3 linked regions of the Mytilus edulis genome follow. The protein of the gene in region 1 purifies or fractionates together with the protein of each later gene. This does not show direct contact. Links are inferred from orthologs where the notes say so. Each region holds a gene or a part of one and is shown in the gene's direction. Other genes may lie near its edges.

What was found.
Region 2: the proteins of cullin-associated NEDD8-dissociated protein 1-like (region 1) and cullin-2-like purify together in Homo sapiens (affinity purification with western blotting; 7 studies listed by BioGRID and IntAct, with this or other methods). This does not show direct contact. The link is inferred for Mytilus edulis from reciprocal best matches to the Homo sapiens genes CAND1 and CUL2.
Region 3: the proteins of cullin-associated NEDD8-dissociated protein 1-like (region 1) and DCN1-like protein 3 purify together in Homo sapiens (affinity purification with western blotting; 3 studies listed by BioGRID, with this or other methods). This does not show direct contact. The link is inferred for Mytilus edulis from reciprocal best matches to the Homo sapiens genes CAND1 and DCUN1D3.

What each region holds. Positions count from the first base shown.
Region 1 is NC_092355.1:5,869,234-5,876,173, forward strand, and holds the start of cullin-associated NEDD8-dissociated protein 1-like, read left to right. Parts: upstream 1-3,830; 5' UTR 3,831-3,993; coding exon 3,994-4,035; intron 4,036-6,940. UniProt on the Homo sapiens protein: Key assembly factor of SCF (SKP1-CUL1-F-box protein) E3 ubiquitin ligase complexes that promotes the exchange of the substrate-recognition F-box subunit in SCF complexes, thereby playing a key role in the cellular repertoire of SCF complexes.
Region 2 is NC_092345.1:87,330,160-87,338,120, reverse strand, and holds the start of cullin-2-like, read left to right. Parts: upstream 1-4,877; 5' UTR 4,878-4,987; intron 4,988-7,961. Other genes in the region: sperm-associated antigen 1-like, read right to left, coding at 75-159, 680-754, 2,693-2,832.
Region 3 is NC_092352.1:76,469,312-76,476,616, forward strand, and holds the start of DCN1-like protein 3, read left to right. Parts: upstream 1-4,267; 5' UTR 4,268-4,443; intron 4,444-7,305. UniProt on the Homo sapiens protein: Contributes to the neddylation of all cullins by transferring NEDD8 from N-terminally acetylated NEDD8-conjugating E2s enzyme to different cullin C-terminal domain-RBX complexes and may play a role in the cell cycle progression by regulating the SCF ubiquitin E3 ligase complex, after UV damage.

The sequences.
Region 1 (6,940 bases):
TACAAACACTGAAAATTGTTATATTGCCCTAGTTGGCGATTTTAACTCAAAAACTGGGTCTTTACCCGATTATATTATACCTGATGAGTCAATTGTTAGTATGTTTGATTTAGATTGTGATGCTGATATATTAGATTATTTGTATGATTATGAGAATCTGACTCGAAACAAAATCACCTTACAAAGAGTGTCTCAGTGTACATGTAGACCTAATAAGTATGGTCATAGACTGTTAGAGTTGTGCAGAAAAAATAATTTCAGGGGTTAAGAAATTTTGTTATAGCTCACTAGCCCAGGGCTAATTGGTTGCAATATTTTACTAGCCCTGTTGGAAGAACTACTAGCCCAACAAAACTGACCTGCTAGCCCTAGTATGCCTTACAAATTCAGAGTTTGCTGCAATAAAGATGAATTCTATAAACTTAACAATTTTTATCCATTCACGGCATTGTACAGTAGATTTTTGCAAATTGGATATTTAAAACTTATATCAGCAAAAAATATTCCATTAGCATATATATATTCAATTAATCGATAATTGAATATTCACTGAAAATTCTGATATAATGAGTTGACCAAATCCGGGGATGATACAAGTCTTGATCACTGCTATACGTGGGTATGTAAAAGGATTGGAGGGGTTTTATCAGATACAATAGCATCATCACGTTTGTGTAAAAGAATTAGCAGCAAATGTTTCAAATTTATTTCTGACAAAAGTCAGGTTTCTGCTGTCAAAAGGGATTCACATTTATATTGCATAAATTAATCAGAAGGAGGTAAAATCAGGTTGCATAAGCAATGTACAATACCACCTCCTGTACTGACACATCGATATTGAAAGTACAAGATCCACCCAGAGTTATTTGTTCTATTTTAAAACTTGTACAACATTAGTTCAATTTCTGGGAATCCCGGATGACGTAGTGGAATCTGATTGGATAAGATAGAAAAGCGATGAGGGGATTTTCCCCTTTCAATTTTAGAAACGCCAAGAATTTTTTGTTACTAGTCCGTCTGGCATTTTTGGTTACCAGTTTTGATTGCCCGAGGTCTAAATGTTGTAGTCCCGGGCGTCGGTCTAGTGGATTTCTTAACCCCTGAATTTATATATTGCAAATTCAAGAGTTGGATCAGATAAAGATATTGGGGAGAAAACATGTAACGATTCAAGTGTTGTTGATTATTTAATTATTTCATCAATGCTCTTCCCTTTGATTGTTTATTTTGAAATTGCTGACTTTATACCGTTATATTCTGATTGTCATTCTTTTATAAATTTTAGACTTCAGGCCACATTTAGTAAATCAGATTCAATTGTTATCAACAATAGAAATGATAAAACTTTTGTCAGGTGGAAGAGTGAACAGAAATCTGAATACGTTGATCGAATTCACAATGATTCCGAAGGTATTTTGACCACTGTTATGAATAAACTGGACAAATTGTCCGTAAATAATGATGCAACTCAAAATGATATAAACAATATAGTTTTAGATATCAGCAAAAATTTTAAAGATGCGGCAGCAGAAACGTTTGGGAAAGTAAATAAACATAAACATTTTTACAAACATGAAAATTCAAAACCTTGGTTTAATAGAAAATGCTCGATGAGTAGAAAAAAATTTCATAAAGCTCGAAAGAGATATAGTTTTTTGAAAAATGCTGAAAACAGAAGTAAAATGAGACAAGCTAGTAAAGAACATAAAATAACATTAAATAAATCTTTTGCAAACTATCAACAGAGAGCTCAGTGCCGCTGATGAGTTGCGTAACATTTCTAAAAAGGATACAAAAGCTCTATGGAAAATCCTTAATAATCTAAATGATAGTAAAAAAAAAGATAACAATGACGATATATCTCTAAAAGCATTGTATGATCATTTTAAAATACTAAATGAAACTGTTGAGACAGAAAATGATTTCGAACAAGATTTGGAATTTGATACTCTACCAGACGATGTTGAGTTATTTTTAAACAGTCCAGTAACAGAAGATGAAATTAAAAAAGTTGTTTCAAACTTAAAAAATGGCAAAGCTTCAGGTAGTGATGAAATTTTAAATGAGTATATAAAGAATACAATTGACGATTTAATGCCAATTTATGTTAAGCTATTCAATTTGATTTTAGATACTGGAATTGTTCCTGACAGTTGGTCTAATGGAATCATGATTACTATATTTAAAAATAAAGGATCAAGATCTGATCCCGAAATGTACAGAGGAATCACTTTGAATTCATGCTTTAGTAAAACTTTTTCTGCCATGTTGAATTACAGGTTAAATAATTATGCAGATCACGTAGACCTGATTTCAAAGGCACAAGCAGGTTTTCGTAGAGGATTCTCTACTGTTGACAATATATTTGTATTGTATTCTTTAATTACTATATATTTTTCATTTGGTAAGAAGCTATTTTGCACTTTTATAGACTTTAAGAGCGCTTTTGACACTGTATGGAGGTCAGGATTGTGGCAAAAAATGCAAAAATCAAACATTAAAGGTAAACTATTTAATGTGATCTATAATATGTATCAAAATATAAAAACATGTGTCAAGAAAGGAAATGAATTTTCCGAATTTTTTATATCTCATACAGGAGTAAAACAAGGTGAAAATCTATCACCTTTTTTATTTTCTTTGTTTCTAAATGATTTAGAAAATTATTTTGTGGAAAATAATATAGAAAGTATAAATAATATTTCAAAGCTGTGCTTGGAATCATTAGAAATGTATGTTAAATGGTTTATTATACTGTACGCAGATGATACTGCGCTATTGTCTGAAAGTGCAGAAGGATTACAAAAAACCCTTGTATGTTTTGAAGAATATTGTAAAAAATGGAAGCTTAAGATTAACACAAGCAAAACTAAAGTAGTGATTTTTAGTAAAAGGAAAGTAAAAAGAAATCAGAATTTTATGATATATGGTGAAAAAATTGAAATAGTTGATTCCTACTGCTACCTTGGTGTACTTTTCAATTACAACGGTAGCTTTTGTACAGCACGAAAAAAACTTCTTGTTCAAGCACAGAAGTCTTTGTATGCTCTTTACCGAAAAATTAAAAATATATGTATTCCCGTCGATTTGCAGCTAAAACTTTTTGACTCATTGGTTAGTCCTGTTTTATTATATGCTTCAGAGGTATGAGGATTTGAAAATAAAGAAAGCATTGAGAAAATACACCTTCAATTTTGCAAAAACATTTTGAAATTAAGAAGCAGTACACCAAATTATATGGTGTATGGGGAACTCGGAAGATTCCCTTTGGAAACCATTATTAAACGTAAAATGGTGTTGTTTTGGAATAACTTGTTATCGGAAAATAACAATTTATCTTCCATTATGTATAAATTAATGCTCAAATTACATTTTCAAAACCCCATTAACATTTTGTCATGAAGAACTTTACAAAAACTTGGCAATATTTTTAAAAATTCTTACACGATACTTGTGATTTATGTTGGTTTTTAGTTGAAAGTTATGGTAGTTTGTAAATTGACATTTGCTATATTTTCTCATGTATGTAGCATTATTATGTTTAGTGTGAATGTATTGAGTATAAACATGTGTATACGTGTATATATGATGTCTTCTTGTACACCTATGTGTCTGAGGTTTATTAATAAAGTATTGTCTATTGTCTATTGACAAACATGTGCACATCTATAATACACAATAATTATATAAAACAATACATCTTAAGTAAACAATTATCTAATATTTAATACCAAACAAGCATTTGGGTTTACGATTGCATTTCTTTTTTTAAAGAAAGCAACTTGTTTAAAGATTGGGCTGCAATCTATTAGAAAAAAAAGAAAAGTTGTGTCCCTTGTCACATAGAGGTCGCTAAGCGGAAACTGCCATTTCTCTGCGAAAATAAAATTGTTTTGGCATGTGAAGCCGACACACAAAAAACAGAGAAAGAAGAAATATAACAGAACTGACAGATAAATTCAATCATCTTTGCTCTCTGTTGAAACAAGAAAAATGGCGAGTGTATCGTATCATATCGCTAATCTTTTGGAAAAGGTAGACGTCATTTGTCATGATCTAAATATTTGCCGGCACCGTACTTATTTTACGATAGAAAACAAAAGGTTCTATCTTTGAATTGGATTATTTCTGTTGTAACGAAAAAAAGAAATTTGTAAACGCCCTTTTTCCTTGCAAAGATGGGCGGGACGGGACCTCTTGAGAATGGCAATGTCTGCTATAGTGGGATTTAATACACCTTATCGCTAGCATTTGTCCGCAATTACTGGAATTCATACAGGTTACCGTTAAATTTTAACGTCATAAAGCAAAATATCTGACACCGCAATGAAAAAGTGATTGTTGTGTGGGTCAAAAATTCAAGCGGTCGGTCCAACGGCTGTTTTGCCAGACAAGCTTGGGCCGTGGGATGTCAGAGCTCGTCCCATATAAAAAAGTGGATATTTGCCCACCCAAAATAGATGCGCTGCTTCATCGCTTCTCATGTCGACTGACGGCCTTGGAATTATGTAAATCGGGCATCAATCTGTTCATTTTTCATTTATCTCTTCATTTATGTAAGTTTCACCTACCTGCAAACCTTTATTTTTCCATATTTTAACAGTTTTCACAGTGACCCATCGATTTCGACATAATATTTGAGACCTTTGACAAGTCACAACAAGGATGATTATATAAATCACGGTAAAATTTTAACCAATTTGACGCTAAGAGTAGCTAAAAAGGACTGTTTGAAGCCTGCACTGCAGTAGAGGGCATTGATATCAGATACCCTCTTTTATCCTTGATTATTTATTGGACCCTACAAATATTTAAAAAAAAAAATTTAGATACATATTGTGTTACAATGTTGAAGATTCAGGTAAAAAGAAGATCACATAATTCAGTTAATAATAAAAAACATTGATTTTCATTGACAATAAATTAGAGCCTATAAAAGGGAGATAATTCTTTTCAATAATCCTGAACAAAACTATCCATGTGCATGTTTTACTGATTCAAGGTATAAAAAAGTCCTGTAAATCCTTTTCATCATGTTCATTGTTTTATTTAAAAGTCAGAGGTACTGTGTGTACAAGTTATTTTTATTTATTTTGAAGAAGTAAATGATAATTTTCTTATGTTGGTTAATTTATTATATATCCAAATTTTCTTATAAGGTTTAAGTGATCTCCCCTTAATAATCTCAAAAAAATAATACTTGTACTTGTAATTTTTTTCAGCAATTCCTAAAATTCTCTTGTATAGGAATGAGAAAACAAGCCTTAATTAATTTTCTCTGGTTACATGTAGCGCTTGATTTTTTATTAGAACTCAATGTTTCATCTCATTAGTTCAACTAAGAAACTAAACGCTGAAAGATGTTGAATAATTGTGCAAGGCCTTCAAAGACTACCCCCTGGACACTTTTAAATCAGCAGTGTTTTCAAGATTACAGACAAATGAGATTTTTTTGGTCTATGAACACGTGATCATGATGATGAATACCTTTGAATGAAGTATAAGGCCAAAATAAATAAATAGTGTGTTTCCTATTTCACCCCGAAAAAAATTAGGTAGGGTAGGTAGGGAAAACATTTTATTTTATGAAAACTTTTTATTTTTTTCTATCGATGACAGCAGAAAAAGATTCAAAATGAAATCATTTGATGTACCTGCATGCTTCTTTGATATTTATTAGTACTTAATTAAATCTACAGGTTTTTTTAATTTTCTGTATAAAGTATAAGAAATATAAAAATAAACTTACGAATTTCATGGGCCGTAATAGGAATATGTTCTTGCCAATTAATTATCTTAAAGAAAAAATGGCAGTGAAAAATCTGGCATGGTATTATTGTTTGGCCTCGTTGAACCTAACAATGTAAATGACACACAGGGTATACATTGTACATGTGGGAACAGACTCCTACCCCCTTTTTTTAGTAGTAGAATCACTGTAAATTGATGCTAAGCAGCGGCTTATGATTTTTTTGGGGTAATACTCTTCCACCCTCTTTATTTAATAAATACATGTAGATGTGTTTTGATGTTTGACAGAATTTAATCTTGAGGAGTGGGGTTCTGACAATATTAAAATTTCAGGTTTTGAGAAAAGTGAGAATCTTTGTCTTCATATTTAATACATGGAAAAAAATTGTAGATATTAATAGGGCATGATTTTTTTTCCTTCTCTGGTATAAATTGTTGTGGGCCAGCCAGAGAAAATTAAAAAAAAATAAAAGTAGACATGGTGCAGGGGCAGATTCATTTATAAATGAACATGAATCATACACCATGTCTGCCTACTGGGGAAAGCTTTCTATTTCTCGGTATACGCATTGTCAGTCAGGGGACTTACTGAAATAGGTGATTTTTAAATTACTTATTTGAGTAGCAAAATCATGGTTTTGTCACAAATTGGAATTTTGTATTTTTTTCCAAATTTTAAACACATAGGTTTAAATAATATCTTTTGATTAGTAAAATTGAAAAAAAATAAACTTTTTGCTTCTTTTAAGTAGAAAGGCTTCTGCCTTTGATGCTATCATTTAGCTGAAAATTCTATTTTAGTTGAAAAAATGCTATAATAATGGCTTTACATAATGAACTGATACTTTCTTAAAAGATTTTTCCCAGCAGTGGGAGTATTTTTCCTGTGAAGTTCAAGGTTTCATCTTTCAGATTATGTAATAAAATTCTACTGTTCGCGATAAAAATCTCACTGTTCAGGGGTGTTGAAATTAGTAGGGATTATTTAAAGAATGATACTTAAAGAAGTGATTTTTGGGAAGGAAATTGAGGTCTGATACTTAAACAAGTGATTTTTATGTCATTATCCTAGATTCAGTACAAGGTCATCACCTGAAATGACCTGGTCATCCTAGACAACACAGATGTTGGTTCTGATAAGTTTAGAAACATAATTAGTCCCTGGATCATTAGTATTCTATATTTAAAG
Region 2 (7,961 bases), on another chromosome or scaffold:
GATTTCCCGTTTACGTTTATGAATAAAAAGAGATGTGGTGTATATGTAAATGAGACAGCATCCAGACAATTCACCTTCAAATCTGTATCTATTTTCTTCCATTCATCTTTAGCAAGATCTCCAGGTCTGCCAAGTGGCACTTCTTTCCTCAATACACGACTAAAGATAGAGAACAAAATATTCATATTTGATATGATTGCAAAGTGTAAAAAATCAGTTTCTAACACTTTAACATAGCTACTGTTACTGTTTTGATATAAATTAACCCACATTTGTACAACTTTAAAACTGTATTTAAAGTTAAGGTTTATTCTGAAAGTCATTAGCTTCTGAAATTGATGCTGTATGCTTAGGTTGTTGACATCGTAGAAAATAAAATCCATATTATAAGAAATATTTATCATCTCACTGAAAAGAAGTAAAACAATATCAGATTTAAATCAAAATGAGTTATTAGCCAGAATTTTTTTCATTCTGATAAATTTGTAAAATACTACATATTTATACGTACTACATACTGTTAAACATGTTGAAGAACATAATTGTTTCAATTACTTAGTGAATGCAAAAATATGTAGGTGATATCAATAATCATTCTGAAGCTTACTATTTTCAATATCAAAATTACAGTAGATAAAAAAATTAAAATGAGTGTTATTTTATAATGATATAAACATACCTTTTGGGATTTAATTTCTCAATCCTTTCTTCACAAAATGTCTCTAAATCTGGATAAAATCCTTCATCACCTGATCTGTTGAAGACACATGAAAAAGAAAATTTGGTGAATCTATCATATATAGAGATATGGAACAGGAAAATGTAGTTTGATCAAAATCTTGAACCGGTATACAAATGTTTACTTATTTGCATACTGAATACTGAATTTGGTCATGTATAATCTGCTATTCTTTATTATCAATTTCAAATTGTCAGAAAGGGTACCAGTGTGAATTGTGCTAAAAAATTAAATAGTACTTCAAGCAAGAAATGAAAGAAAATGTTGATTATACAATGTTAACATTTTATCCTGTTGAACTTACTTTAAATAAAGCTAATACTAACAATGACCACTGCCCTTTCCTCGATCTTAATATCTATATCACTAACGGAAAGCTTAATACTAAAATTTATGATAAAAGAGATGATTTTTCATTTCCTATCGTTAATTATCCATTTTTAGATGGTGACGTTCCCTTGTCACCATCTTACGGTGTTTATATATCTCAACTTGTACAATTCGCTCATATATGTAACAATGTTATAGATTTTAACGAGAGAGATTTATGTATTACTGAAAAATTATTACACCAGGGTTTTCGATATTAAAAACTAGTCAAAACATTTACTAAATTTTATCATCGGTATAAGGACATCATTCGTAAATATAGCTCAACATGCAGACTTCTTATAGTTCAGGTATTTCACATCCAATTTTTTATGGAAATATTCTTTATAAAGCACAAAAATGTCAGTATTCACCTCAGAAACTAATAAAACCTTTAAATAGACTTATTAAGAAGGGATATAGTTACGATACTGTTGTCAGGTCATTAAAGATTGCATATTTTGGTGTTAATATTGATTCACTTATAGGGTCTTTGCATCGGAACTAAACACATTTATTCAAAAACCAGTTATTGGCCTGACACGGGTTATGTTCTTCTCATATATGTTATGATAGTATAATACTAAACCCCTAACGGGAAGGATTGTGCCTGATATTCATATGATGAAATCATAATCTTTCAATCGGTTTAATTGAAGACTGGAGCTGGCATGTCAGTTAACTGCTAGTAGTCTGTTGTTATTTATGTATTATTGTCATTTTGTTTATTTTCTTTGGTTACATCTTCTGACATCAGACTCTGACTTCTCTTGAACTGAATTTTAAATGTACGTATTGTTATGCGTTTACTTTTCTACATTGGCTAGAGGTATAGGGGGAGGGTTGAGATCTCATAAACATGTTTAACCCCGCCGCATTTTTGCGCCTGTCCCAAGATAGGAGCCTCTGGCCTTTGTTAGTCGTGTATTATTTTAATTTTAGTTTCTTGTGTACAATTTGGAAATTAGTATGGCGTTCATTATCACTGAACTAGTATATATTTGTTTAGGGGCCAGCTGAAGGACGCCCCCGGGTGCGGGAATTTCTCGCTATATTGAAGACCTAAAGGTGACCTTCTGCTGTTGTTTTTTTCTATGGTGGGGTTGTTGTCTCTTTGACATACTCCCCATGTCCATTCTCAATTTTATTTGCTGTCACGGTGGGGTAATTTTTGGTAAAAGAGGAGGTTGTACTAATTTCTTTTCAAATTCTTCAATTATTTTAATCTGCCTAATTAAAACATGAAATTTTAATAAAAATATCAAGTATTTTACTGTTGCAAATATCCTTTTACCTAGCTCCATTATGTGTTGCTAAGTAAACTCAATGTGAGACAGTAAAATCTATGTTTTTTTCGAAGGCCAAGCTTAAAATACAATAGTTATTTTCTAAATAGTAATTCAATTTTTGGTTTGTGACTAAAAAAAATAATTTGTTTTTGTATGTGGATATTTTAGCTTATACATAACAGTTTCTTGTACCTTCAAAATTTTGTGAGGAGTCACAATCATATAGTAAATGATCCCTTTAATGATCTTTTATATTTTTTTGAAAAAGTAAAATCTAAATAAGTTAAAGAATTACCTAAGGATTCTAAGTATTCTCTCAAGTTCTTTGGTGTCTGTACATTTCTCTATGTATGGATAATCTAGATGAGTGAGAGGTATGTCATACTTCCTTGTGGTCTCTGACTGGAACAACACATTATCACTCACTGTTGACATGCTGACAAAACCTAAATATATAAATTCTTGGTGATATTTCACTGTCAATACCTTCAAATATTAATGCTTGGTGATATTTCATGTCGATACCCTTTTCCTGTCGAATTTGTTTTGAATTTTTTGCCTACTAAACTTTAATTCTTCTTAAAGTTTTTGGTTTACATGTCATCTTTTTAATTGATTCAGAGTTTCTTTTATACAAACAACCAAATATTTTATATCATACAATGTATGCTGTTATTTGACTGGCAGTTTTGAACAAATTGTTCCAATTTTTTTATAAGTTTTAAATGTCTTCCTCACATATATATATTAATACATTTGTATATATCAAGAATATTTATTAACTGAGAAAAACTGTTCACTTACTATATATATATAATTATTTATAGGACTTCTGATTAATTTATTCACTAATTATGATACATTTAATTTCCATGTATATTTCACATTTCTTTTCCCAATCAGATGGCATTTAAATTTTGGATGCAGGGACTTGTAGCCTACGAATGCCAATTTGACTACTCGTCCCCTCATGTAGAGCTGGGCAGACACTGCCAAATAATAATGGTGTACACAAAAGCATGAAAATAAGGTCATGGTACATATAAGATGAAACCTGCCAGACAGCTACATTTGTATTGACATGTACCTTTCAATTACTCCGGCTATATATATCCATAAACCAAATATAATTGACCAATTGCTGAAGTATATGAGTGGAGACTTAACCTCAAAAACTAAACTTTGAAATGGCTTAAAAAAAAACTTCTGTCAAAACAATGCACCTTATAGCAGATGCTGTTTGAAAATCTGTTCTGCTTGAACTTTTGACATCATACATGTACATGTACAACAATCACTTTTCCATTGTCGCATCAGATATTTTCTATTATAAGGTCAAAATTTTACGGTAACTTTTGTGATGTCTAGTAATGGCAGATAAATAGTGATAAGGTGCATTAACGCAAACATATATAGGAGGGTCTGGATGGGGGGTCTGTTATTCTGTAAACATTTAATTTTCACCCCTTTTTTCTCTATCTTCAAAAAATTAACCCCTTTTTTCTCTAATCTTCAAAAAATTAACCCCTTTTTTCTCTTATCTTCATTTTTTTTGCTGATTATTCTCTAATCTTCATTTTTTAAGGGCATTATTCTTTAATCATTTAACACCATCCAAACCCTCATATAGAACAGAATAAACGTATTTACACTTTTGGTCTTAAGCTGTATTTTGCCTCCGAATGACCTTATATCACCTCCTAATAACCTTTTGACGTCAAGCAACAATCAATTTTTAGCTGTGACGTCAAATGTATTGAATTATGATGTCAAAGTTTACGGGAACCTGTGTGATTTTATGTAATGGCGGACAAATTTGCATACAAGTGTAAATACGTCTATAGAATATATGTTAACAAAATCCAAGTGTGACCGAAACAACTGAGGCTGAAACGACACTAGCCGAACTGGAATTGTGGCCCAAACAACTCAGGCCGAAGTGATATTGTGGCCCGAATTACCTGTGGACCAACTGTTTGTATGACAGAAACGTCTAGAAATCATTGTCATTAACACAGTCAAAATTATACTGAAAGTGAAATAGCAAAAAAAAATCATTCTTTATAGTCTAAAGGAAACTTATATTTCATTTTTAAGCTTTATATGTTAGACTCTACCAGATATTGTTGGCATTTTTTTGTTAAGGAGTCTACATGTTTTTACCTGAAAGTAAATTCTAAAAGGGCACTAAGGGTTGAGAACTGTATCCAGCAAGTTCTAAAGCTGCTAAGGAAGCCTTTCAATATATCTTTCGGAATCAGATCTTTCAAAACAAAACGAACCTATGAATATTTAGAGTTCAATTTAACTGATATTTGTGCAAAGACAATTTGATTTTGTATAAAGCAACTTATATATAATTTTTGAGTGTTAATGTATTCCGGGTCTATAATTTATTGTTTGAAATGAGTGTATACACTAAGTTTAAAAAATTCTTTTCTTTATTTTTTTAACAAATATATGCAAATAGTTTTCCCACGTGACAGAAAATGGCGACCTCCTGTTCATCGCAATCAGTGAAATAAAAAGTTGACAAAACTTCACCAATAACTGCTATCCGACTCGTAAAACAAATCACAGGTTGAACAGTGTGTTATATAGTTATCTTAAACCTAAAATTCTTATCGTCCAACAGTATTTGTAAATATAATTTGTTCTAATATTTTCATAGTATCCTGATTAATTTAGCGGAATTTTTATTCTGCCAGCTAAATTATGTCAATAATGATCTCCACAAATAAGAATCAACAAACTGATTGTATTGCTCATTTTGGTGAACATATGGACCCCATCCCAGTTCCCAAATTATTTAAATAAAGGTCATGTTTGTCACAAGAGGTTTTTACTCTGTAACTTTGAGGATACTAATCCTAAACTGGTAAAAAAAAAAAGGCAGTGTGGTTTATATTTCAGGTTGTATTCCTGATCCGATGCCATTTGATTTTAAAACCAGATGCAGGTACACGTAGCCTACAAAGGCACTTTGACTATTTGTTGAAGTTCCGCATGCGGGTACGTGCAGACACTGCCTAAAAAAAAAGGAAGATAGATAGTTCAAGATAGTTCTAATGCATGGTCAGATCATATGTTTTTGTACATCTTAAGAATTCATATTATGCATGCTTTTTCAATAGAAGTTGTGACGTCAAAATTTCTAAACAATTTTATGATACCTATCAATTAATAATGTACATTTCATTAGGGACTGTCATTTGCTTTTCTTTCATTTTCCTATTACATGTACCTTCTGTTATGTGTGTTTTTTTTGTCTCTCAACATATATATATATATTTCTTAGTAACTCAGTCAACCATGTTCGTCAAAGTTTCATATAATTACTCGCCAAAACGTAATACTAAAAATAAAATTAAGGACTGAAAGTATATACAATGTACATAATATTTATGTTATATGAATTTAAGGCGCAATTACTATATAAGTAAGCCGCCTACCAAAACCAATAACAACAACAGCAATGTCAAAATGCATTCATACATGTATTGGGCTTTGGCCATGAGATGAGGATATTTTTACGTGTCCATAGCGCTTTTCCCCAGAAAAATTTGATGACACATTTTTCCCCAAATGACTCCAGATCAACTAGGGTAGATCATTGAATAAATTGAGATTCTGTGTATTGTATGTAAATATTGTGTTTTTATCAATATATAGTTATACTTTTAATATGGAAATCAAATTCTTTTTTGGGAACTTCGAGTCTGGTACATGTGGTTCTTTTCACATCTGAACACAACCGCACACTGCTTTACGTTGATCACATTATACTGTATATACTATATAATACCTTTTCAGGGATTGCCTAAAGTTATAGTGTGTTAAGTTATGGGTTGTGAGGCAGTGTGAAGACAGACCCTTCTGAATCTGGAAGATTTTTTTTGATTAGGTTGTCCCCCCTCCCCCCAAATCTCTGAGGGGAAGGACTCTAAGGGGGATTACTGGTAAATTTATGCTGTGTTGTAAAACAAAAAGTCCCAATGGAAATTTATCACCCCCATGTTGAAGGTATTTTAGAACCATGGTTTTTAAACCAAAGTCAAGCTTTTCACCATTTATCATCTTCCATATCCAAAGGTTAAGATTAAGATAGAATTATTGATTCCACAAGGTAATGCTATTCATTGGTCTCAGTTGTAATTGGTTGCATTCAATCAGATTAAATTTTGTAAAAAAAAAATTCTGTTTATTCGTATTTTACTTATAAATGGACTTAGTTTTCTGCCAGTTAACATTACATTCACTCTATGATTAAAGTTTTTGGAATTTTAATCACTTTAAATTTCAGTTTCTTAAACTATCCTGGATTTCTGCCAAACTTGGACAGAAGCTTGTTAATTATCAAAAGCTAGTATCTAGAAGGAAATTTTGTAAAAATATATTTCCTGTTTTTCGGTATGTTACTTATATATGGTCTTTCTTCCTGTTAACATTACATACAATCTGCAGTTAAATTTCCTATATTACTTATTAGCTTCATAAAGTAGGTGAGGCACTGGGTTCTGCAGAACCCTTACATATTTTGCTCTAAGTGGGGAATATAATTATAGAATATTGAATCGAGATCCCTACACCCTGTTTCATGTAACTCTTGTTCCTGTTGGCTCTAGTACCTGTTCAACCTATACTGGTAGACCATAATATCTGTTTGTCATATTTTACCTTCTTGTCTTGTTGTATAATGGGTATAATATATAAATTATACCCCCGCTTTGAAAAAAAGGGGGGGTATACTGTTTTACCTCTGTCTGTCCTTCCGTCAGTCCGTCCGTCCCATGAATATTTTTTGTCACATTTTTCTCAGGAACTACACTACCAGGATTTCTGAAATTTGGTTTCAGGCTTGATATAAGTCAGCTATACCGTGTGATGCATTTTCAGATTCATCACTCGGCAACTTCCTGTTTACCGAACACTTGTATCATTTTTACACCTGATAGCCAAGTTGAAAATTTTTCGTCACATTTTTCTCAGGAACTACACTACCAGGATTTCTGAAATTTGGTTTAAGGGTCAATATAAGTCAGCTATACCGTGTGATGCGTTTTCAGATTCATCACTCAACAACTTCCTGTTTACCGAACACTTGCATATTTTTACACTATTAATATTATCCACTTGCGGCGGGGGTATCATCCGTGAGCAGTAGCACGCAGTTTCACTTGTTGAGTATGCATTGCCTAAAGTTATAGTGTTGAAATAACAACACGAACAATAAACAGTACTTTCAAAAATAGTATTGAACATTCTTGATGAAGTCTGTTAAGTTTTTATACGACCGCAAAATTTGAAAATTTTTTCGTCGTATATTGCTATCACGTTGGCGTCGTCGTCGTCCGAATACTTTTAGTTTTCGCACTCTAACTTTAGTAAAAGTGAATGGAAATCTATGAAATTTTAACACAAGGTTTATGACCACAAAAGGAAGGTTGGTATTGATTTTGGGAGTTTTGGTCCCAACATTTTAGGAATTAGGGGCCAAAAAGGGCTCAAATAAGCATTTTCTTGGTTTTCGCACTATAACTTTAGTTTAAGTTAATAGAAATCTA
Region 3 (7,305 bases), on another chromosome or scaffold:
TTTTGCAACTTTTGAGTAGGAGTCTTTAGCTCTTTGACTAGTGATGCCGCTCACGATATCCCCGGCAGAGCCAAGCATGGACATACGGAGAAAAGACTCTATGTGAAACAGAAGCAACGCTTTGTATTGTTGTGTATACTTATATCGAAAGCTAGTTTAAAATAGCAGTGACTTTTAAATTCTTTTGCAAAAAAAACTTACGAAAAGTCACATGACATGTTTAATTTACGCTTTGTCGATTACACCCCCTAAATTTGGTTAAACAGGCTTTTTTTCTTCTCAGGCAGTTAATATATAGTGTTACTTCGTTCAATAACAGGCGCTATCAATCAATTTTTAGTATTAGAGTGAAACACATATATATATTTATTTCGATCTAAACCATGACAAACTTGACCAAAACCATGACGAATTTCTAGATTCTTAACCGAACCATGTCAATCGCTTAACCAAACCATAGCAATTCCGATATCTTGCTTATTCTGCGTTAATTTCGTGAAACAACAATTCCAATATAGATCGTTTGACCTCCAATACAGATTCAAGCATTTTATTTGCTTTTTATCTGCTCGTGTGAATAGAACTGAGGCAATAGTTTAGGGAAGTAACATAAATTAATCATGTCAAACTTATCCAAACTATGACAAAATAACTGTACTAAACGCTCCTCGATATGACGACCTTACTACCCGTGACTTAGCTTCCTCTTATATCTAGATACAGAAAAATAACATTCTATTTATCCAGCACTCTGCAAGAAATGCACTCTATTGCTGGTGCTAGTAAAATAGCCATTTCTAGAGTTATAGACTATTTTACCGACTTGAATTAATTTAGGATATTTTAATCAGGGATGGCAAAACAGCCATGCACTGTCATATTTATTTTATTTGCTCTTCAAAAACGGCAATTTTTATATACAGTTAAACATGTACTTAAAGACATTTTGTAAAAACGTTTCATTTTTTGACCTAGAGAAGATGTGCGCGCAAGTTGCAAACTGGAGTGGAGATCAGACTTGTAAAAGCAATGATTGTGCTAATTTAGAACTATTGGATTTGAATTAGTTTTAACATACTGTGATACAATACTATTATTTTATGATCTATATTATATCAGAGACATAAACGAGGGGCCTGATTTGGGGGGGGGGGGGTCTCATATCACGATTCACGAGTTGATGTTTTTGTCAATCACGATTCACAGAAACTAAATTTCCATGATCACGGATCACGAAAATATATACGAGATAATATCTGAAAAAGTCTAATTTTTGGCAATAAGAAAAAATCAAAAAAAAAGTCTTTAGACCCGGTATTATAATAGCATAAACCGAAGAGCACACATTGGGGATCTAGGAACTGTTGTCTGTAATTCAAACAATTGTTAAATGTGGTAACAATTGCAATTTCAAAAATGGTACAAAATAATTCCAGTTCTTTCCTGTTTCCAAAATGAATCAATTTTAAAAAGTTTCTAATGAGAATAAGGAATAATTTTAAGACACTATTTGTGGTTTACTAGTATATCCTGTAATAGTTTAGTAAATGCCAATTATTGATTTTAACATTTGTAATACAAAAGATTAAGAAATATACTAAAATATAGTCAGAGATGTCGGTAACATGAAAGAATTTTGAGTAACAGGACAACGGTAACAGGACAGAAAGGATTTTTTTCTCAAAAAAGAAAAATACATTATTTCAGATTGGACACCATTGGAAGATAACAGCAAACAATAGCATTTATCCTTTGAAACTGTATTTGACAGATGAAAAATCTGCCTAGGTAATGAAAAATTCTAAAATAAATTCCTTTCTGTTACTATCTACTATACTATAGAATTGCACAATGTTCTCTGCTGTTATCAAAAGCAAAAAAACTATTTTTTTTCATTCAATATATTGTATATTACTATGAAATTTATTTAATATGGTGATGATAACTTATATTAAATGAAATGGTTGACATATAGTAGATTAATATTTTGATTCATCAGTGATATTGTCTTGAACATCCTTCCTGTTACTGATTATGGTTATGCTGTTTCTTTTTATTAGGTAACATGACAGAATGTAACAGAAAGGAATTACGCAGTCCTTTTTGTTCATTTACTCGAATTGTGTAGAAGTTTACTTTCATCTACATATCAATTTGATAAGATACTAGTATAAAACACATGTACTGTTATAGTGCTGACAATGAAATATTCTCAGAAGGTACACAAAAAGGCTGTAACAGGAGAGAACAACAAAATTATTTTTCTCCAATTCTTATCTTTGGGGAGTTCAGTTTTTTTAAACTGGCTGCTATTCACCTAAACAAATGGATTCATACATTCAGGAAATGATGCTCTTCACATTACATTACAAGAAATAAATTTTTGGTCTTTCAAACGTGTCCACAGGTGGAAAACCCCCAGCGGTAACAGGAGGGAAAGTACCCCTGGGGACAACATTCAAAAGACCCTTAAAAATGCAAAATTTTCTTACATGCTTTAGTTATAACAAAATAAGACCAGTAATGGAGAAGTATATTATATAATCTATCAGATTTGTGAAAATTGGAAAGCTGCTTACTTTTAAATTAAGATATTCTTTGAATGATTCAATTTTCAGAAAATAACAGGGGACAACATGATTTTTTTTGGGGGGAGGGGGGTTGACCATTTATATTATAATATTTTATTAGATGAAATATTAAAAAGAATGTTTAATTGGTTGCAGTTGGTGCATTATTTACTCGAGTTAATCAGTACTGAAACTTAAAATTTTCCAAAAAGATGCCTGAATAAAAAAATAATTGCTGGTGAAAGGCGGGACATGGAAATTATAGACTTTTTCAGATATTGTCTCATATAAAAAAAAATATCTGTTGAAAAACGGATCACGATAGCGAAAATGCGCCGATCACAAACAACGAAAATAACCAAAATGTTAAGGCAAGATATTCTTTGGGTTCATCGGACAATAAATGTCTTTTCATACCACGTCCGAGAACAAATTTTATATGAAGAAACATTTCAATATTCCGGTACAGTTAACGTTCTTTGGCAGTGGCGGATCCAGAAATTTTCATAAGTGGGGGCCCACTGACTGACCTAAGAGGGGGCCCGCTCCAGTCACACTTCAGTGATGCCCTATATAAGCAACCAAATTTTTTTCCCAAAAAGGGAGGGCCCAGGCCCCCTGGGCCCCCCCTCTAAATCCGCCTCTGTTTGGAATAGTATTCCTGTTTAAATAAAAAAGATAGAAACGATAGAACAGTTAAAAAAAAAAAGTTTTTGTAATTTCTTGTTTCTAAACTAAAAATGTAATTATCAAATGAAATTTACCTAATATATAAAAGTCCATAAAGGTATCTTGTACATCTGACATTAACAACATATGTTCATGAACCTATTCCGTATGTTTTTCGCCTTTTGTTTTGCATAAAAATACTGTATGTAAATGTATATTATATTATTGCATATTTTGAATTGTTCAAAGGGCATCAGTGGAGATTAATATTGTACTAAGTAACTGATTTTACATCACGGGGGGGGGGGGGGGGGGGGGTAACTTCCTATTATTGGGTATACGGGGATGTGCCAAAAATATGGGTCATATAATTTTGCAAGATTTTATATAAAAATGACCCACCTTCTTAATGACATCCTATATTAAAATGCATTTACGTTTGATAACTGTATATTGATTTAGGATCATTTGGGGTATCAGTGTCATCTACATATCATATATATAACGATAACATATATGTGCACCTAACGATGTCAATTCATATATAAAAACTTAAGGGTAGCTGGTATATTTATGAATTATGAGTGATGATGAGTTAGTGCTTATATATAAGCATGGGTCATATTTTGAATATTGTATATAAGTATAGGTCATTCTTTCTTAAATATTTATATAACTATAGGTACTGAATTTCAGTGAATGTTATATTAAAATGGGTAGGTTTTTTGAGGCAAAAATGGTACACCCCTACCAAAAAAATATCGAAGTTACCCCCGTGTTTTACATGTATACATACAAACCGTGAGTATTTTTATGCAAAACAAAAGGCGACTGTTGAAAACGTAATGTCTCTGGTTCATTAATACTTTTTCAATTTCATCTGAACTTTTAAATTAGTTTTATTAAGTTATAGTAGATAGCAATTCCGATTTGAACTAGCCTACTTGATTCTAATTTGTAATATCTATCTGTCACAAAAATTAAATTTCCCCGCGGTAAAAACTAAGGAGATATGCACATATTCTAATGACGTACATCGCACATCGACAGGAAGTCCACCATTTGTTATTCTTTCTCTCTGACAATCAGCATGAAATCGACAGATTCTGGCAAAAGGAACACGGATATATATATTTGTTGTATGCAGGGATAAAGAAAATACCCAAGTGATGTCTTTCAAGACGACAAACTGCCAGAAATTTCGGTGATTCACCAAATTATACAATTCTGAAGCACAAATGCATTACCTTGTTTTTGTTTTATCGACCTATTCGCTTTGCATGTTATCGATCTCACAGTTTCTATTAAGTTGTCATAATCACGCTTTCTAACTATATAAATAATTAATGACATTAAAACTTCTTTAATCCTTCCAACCTCTGTGTTATTTAAGAAAACGGATCGAAATAAAGGTTGGGTACGTACCCATAGACATAGACAAAGAAATTAAGAATTTAAGACAAAGAACATCTCATTGGTGTAGTCCAAATAATTATGACGTCTTGAAAGGCTATTATAATTTTTTTCTTTGACGCCTTACATCGATGTAAGGCGTCAAAAAAAAAAATTATAATAGCCTTTCAAGACGTCATAATTATTTGGACTACTCATTGGTGATGATGTTGGTCTTTTATTGGACCTGTATCTTAATAAAAAAAAAAGGGGAGGGATAAATAAATAAACTTAGAAAACAGAGAAATTTATTCCTAAACATTCTAAATGAGACATGTTAGAAAAATAGATCACCTATTTTGTTTCACATGTAATTTACTGAAGTGGGTCTCGTAGGGTTCTTAGTGTGACACAGGATTGGCTGATTTTTTAAGAATGATTCGTGAAAGTCTAATAAATAAGCGTGAAATCTGGAAACAAAGCCGGGTGGTACACAGAAAATTATATGCACTATTATGGCAACGAAAAGCAGGTTAGAATTCTGACAAAACTGTAAGCAGGATCCAGGATCAGATCCCCTCCCCCTCCAATGAGTCCCCCACTGAATACAATGTGAAGCCTGTCTCAACCTTTGGAGTCCCACTAGTCAGATAGATCCCTGTCATGTCTGTACCAAACATGGATGTCCCACTACATGCACTAGACAGATAATCCCCTGTCATATTTGACCAAACTATGAAGTCCCAAGAGTCAGATGGTCCCCTGTCATGCCTGTATCAAACTTTGCAGTCCCACTATTTGAATAGTCCCCTGTCATGTCTGTACCAAACATTGATGTTTCACTAGTCAGATAGTTCCCTGTTCATGTCTAGATCTGTATCAAACTTTGAAGTCTTATAATTAGTCCGATAGTCCCCTGTCCTGGCTGTACCAAACATTGATATCTCACTAGTCTAGTCAGATGGACCCCTGTCCTGTACCAAACATAAATGTGTCGGATAGTCATGATAGTCCCCTGTCATGTCTGTACCAAACTATGAACATGATGAAGTCCCACTTACAAGTCAGATAGTTCCCCAAATTAGTCGTTTTTCTTATACGACTGCACATATTTTTTGTATAATGCTACAGTGTATGTCCATGAAATTGTACAACAAGCTTCAATACCACAAAAGGAAGGTTGGGATTGATTTCTGGGTTAAGGGCCAAAAACAAACACTTTTCTAGTTTCCAGACAATAACTTGTATTTAAGTGTATGGAACTCTCTAAATTTTTACTACAAAGTTCCATACCACATAGGGAAGGCTGGGATTGAGTTTGGGGGTAATTGCTCCAAGAAGGAGGGGGTTCAAAAAGTTTTGGGGGTTCCAGTTTCTCAAAGGGGTTCATATTTTTGTTTTTCAGAATTTTTTAAATTTCAAATTTTTGAAAAGTTCTGTGAAAAAATCTTCAATTGCAAAGTATTATCCTATAGATTTTTATACGACAGCAAACATTTTTGTGGTTGTATATTGGTATCACGTTGTCATCGTCGTCAGCGTTGTCCGAAGAGGGATGGTTTCCGGAAAATAACTTATTTTAACACAATGTTTATAACCACAAAAGGAAGCTTGGGATTGATTTTTGGGGTTATGGTCCCTAACGTTTAGGAATTAGGGGCCTAAAACAAGCATTTATCTAGTGTCAGTACAAAAAGTTGTGTATAAGTATTTCAATTGTTTTGAAATTGTACCACAATATTTATGACATATTTATATCATAAGTGAAGGTTAGGATATATATATTTTGTGAGTTATGGGGCAGTTTAGGAATAAAGGGCCAACAAGGGACCAAAAACAAGCATTTTTGTAGTTTCAAGACAATAAATTGGAGTTATCGTTCTTTGTCCAGAATGGTTGTTAAATCACCTATGCGCTAAAACCAATGCTTTATGAAATCTTCTTTGAAAATTGGAGTTATCTTTCTTTGTCCAGAATAGAGGTTGAATCAACTTAAATCAATACAATATACAATGCAATATTCACTTAACTACCAACTGATAAATTGAAGCAATCTTTACCATTCAGTGATTACAAGCACTTTGATTATACCATTTTAGGGTTATGCCCCTTTAAAAATGGAAAAATTGAAGAATTTTTAGTTTCTGTTCTCTCAACTTAAGTTTGTCTCCACTTAATTTAATGAAATCTGTATATATAATGCTTATTACCTCTAAACCCAGTTTAAGTTCAATTTTTGGCAGCTTCACTTTACAGTTCTTGAGTTATGTCCCTTTATAACGTTATATGCTAGCGGGGGCATCATCTGTGTCCCTTTGAACACATTCTTCATTTATTTTTTTAGAAGTTACTAATACTATTAATTAATATTAATTTTAACCGTGACTAATTGACATTTTTATATTTTGATATTTATGATGTATTTAAAGTCATAATAAATGAGTGACTGGTGAAAAATAATGTTATTCCAATTCTTGAACCAATCCATACAAACATCATAAACTTAGTCTTCTGTGCACGATTTTATCATTTTTTTTGCATAAATTTCATACAATCATCAAATTTTTTTTCAATCAGTCAATGTTGTTGTGAAAATATGGCAGGTAATTAAAGTTCTTGTTTTGAAGCCGAAGTTTGTCACGATTTTATCATTTTTTTCGCATAAATTTTGTAT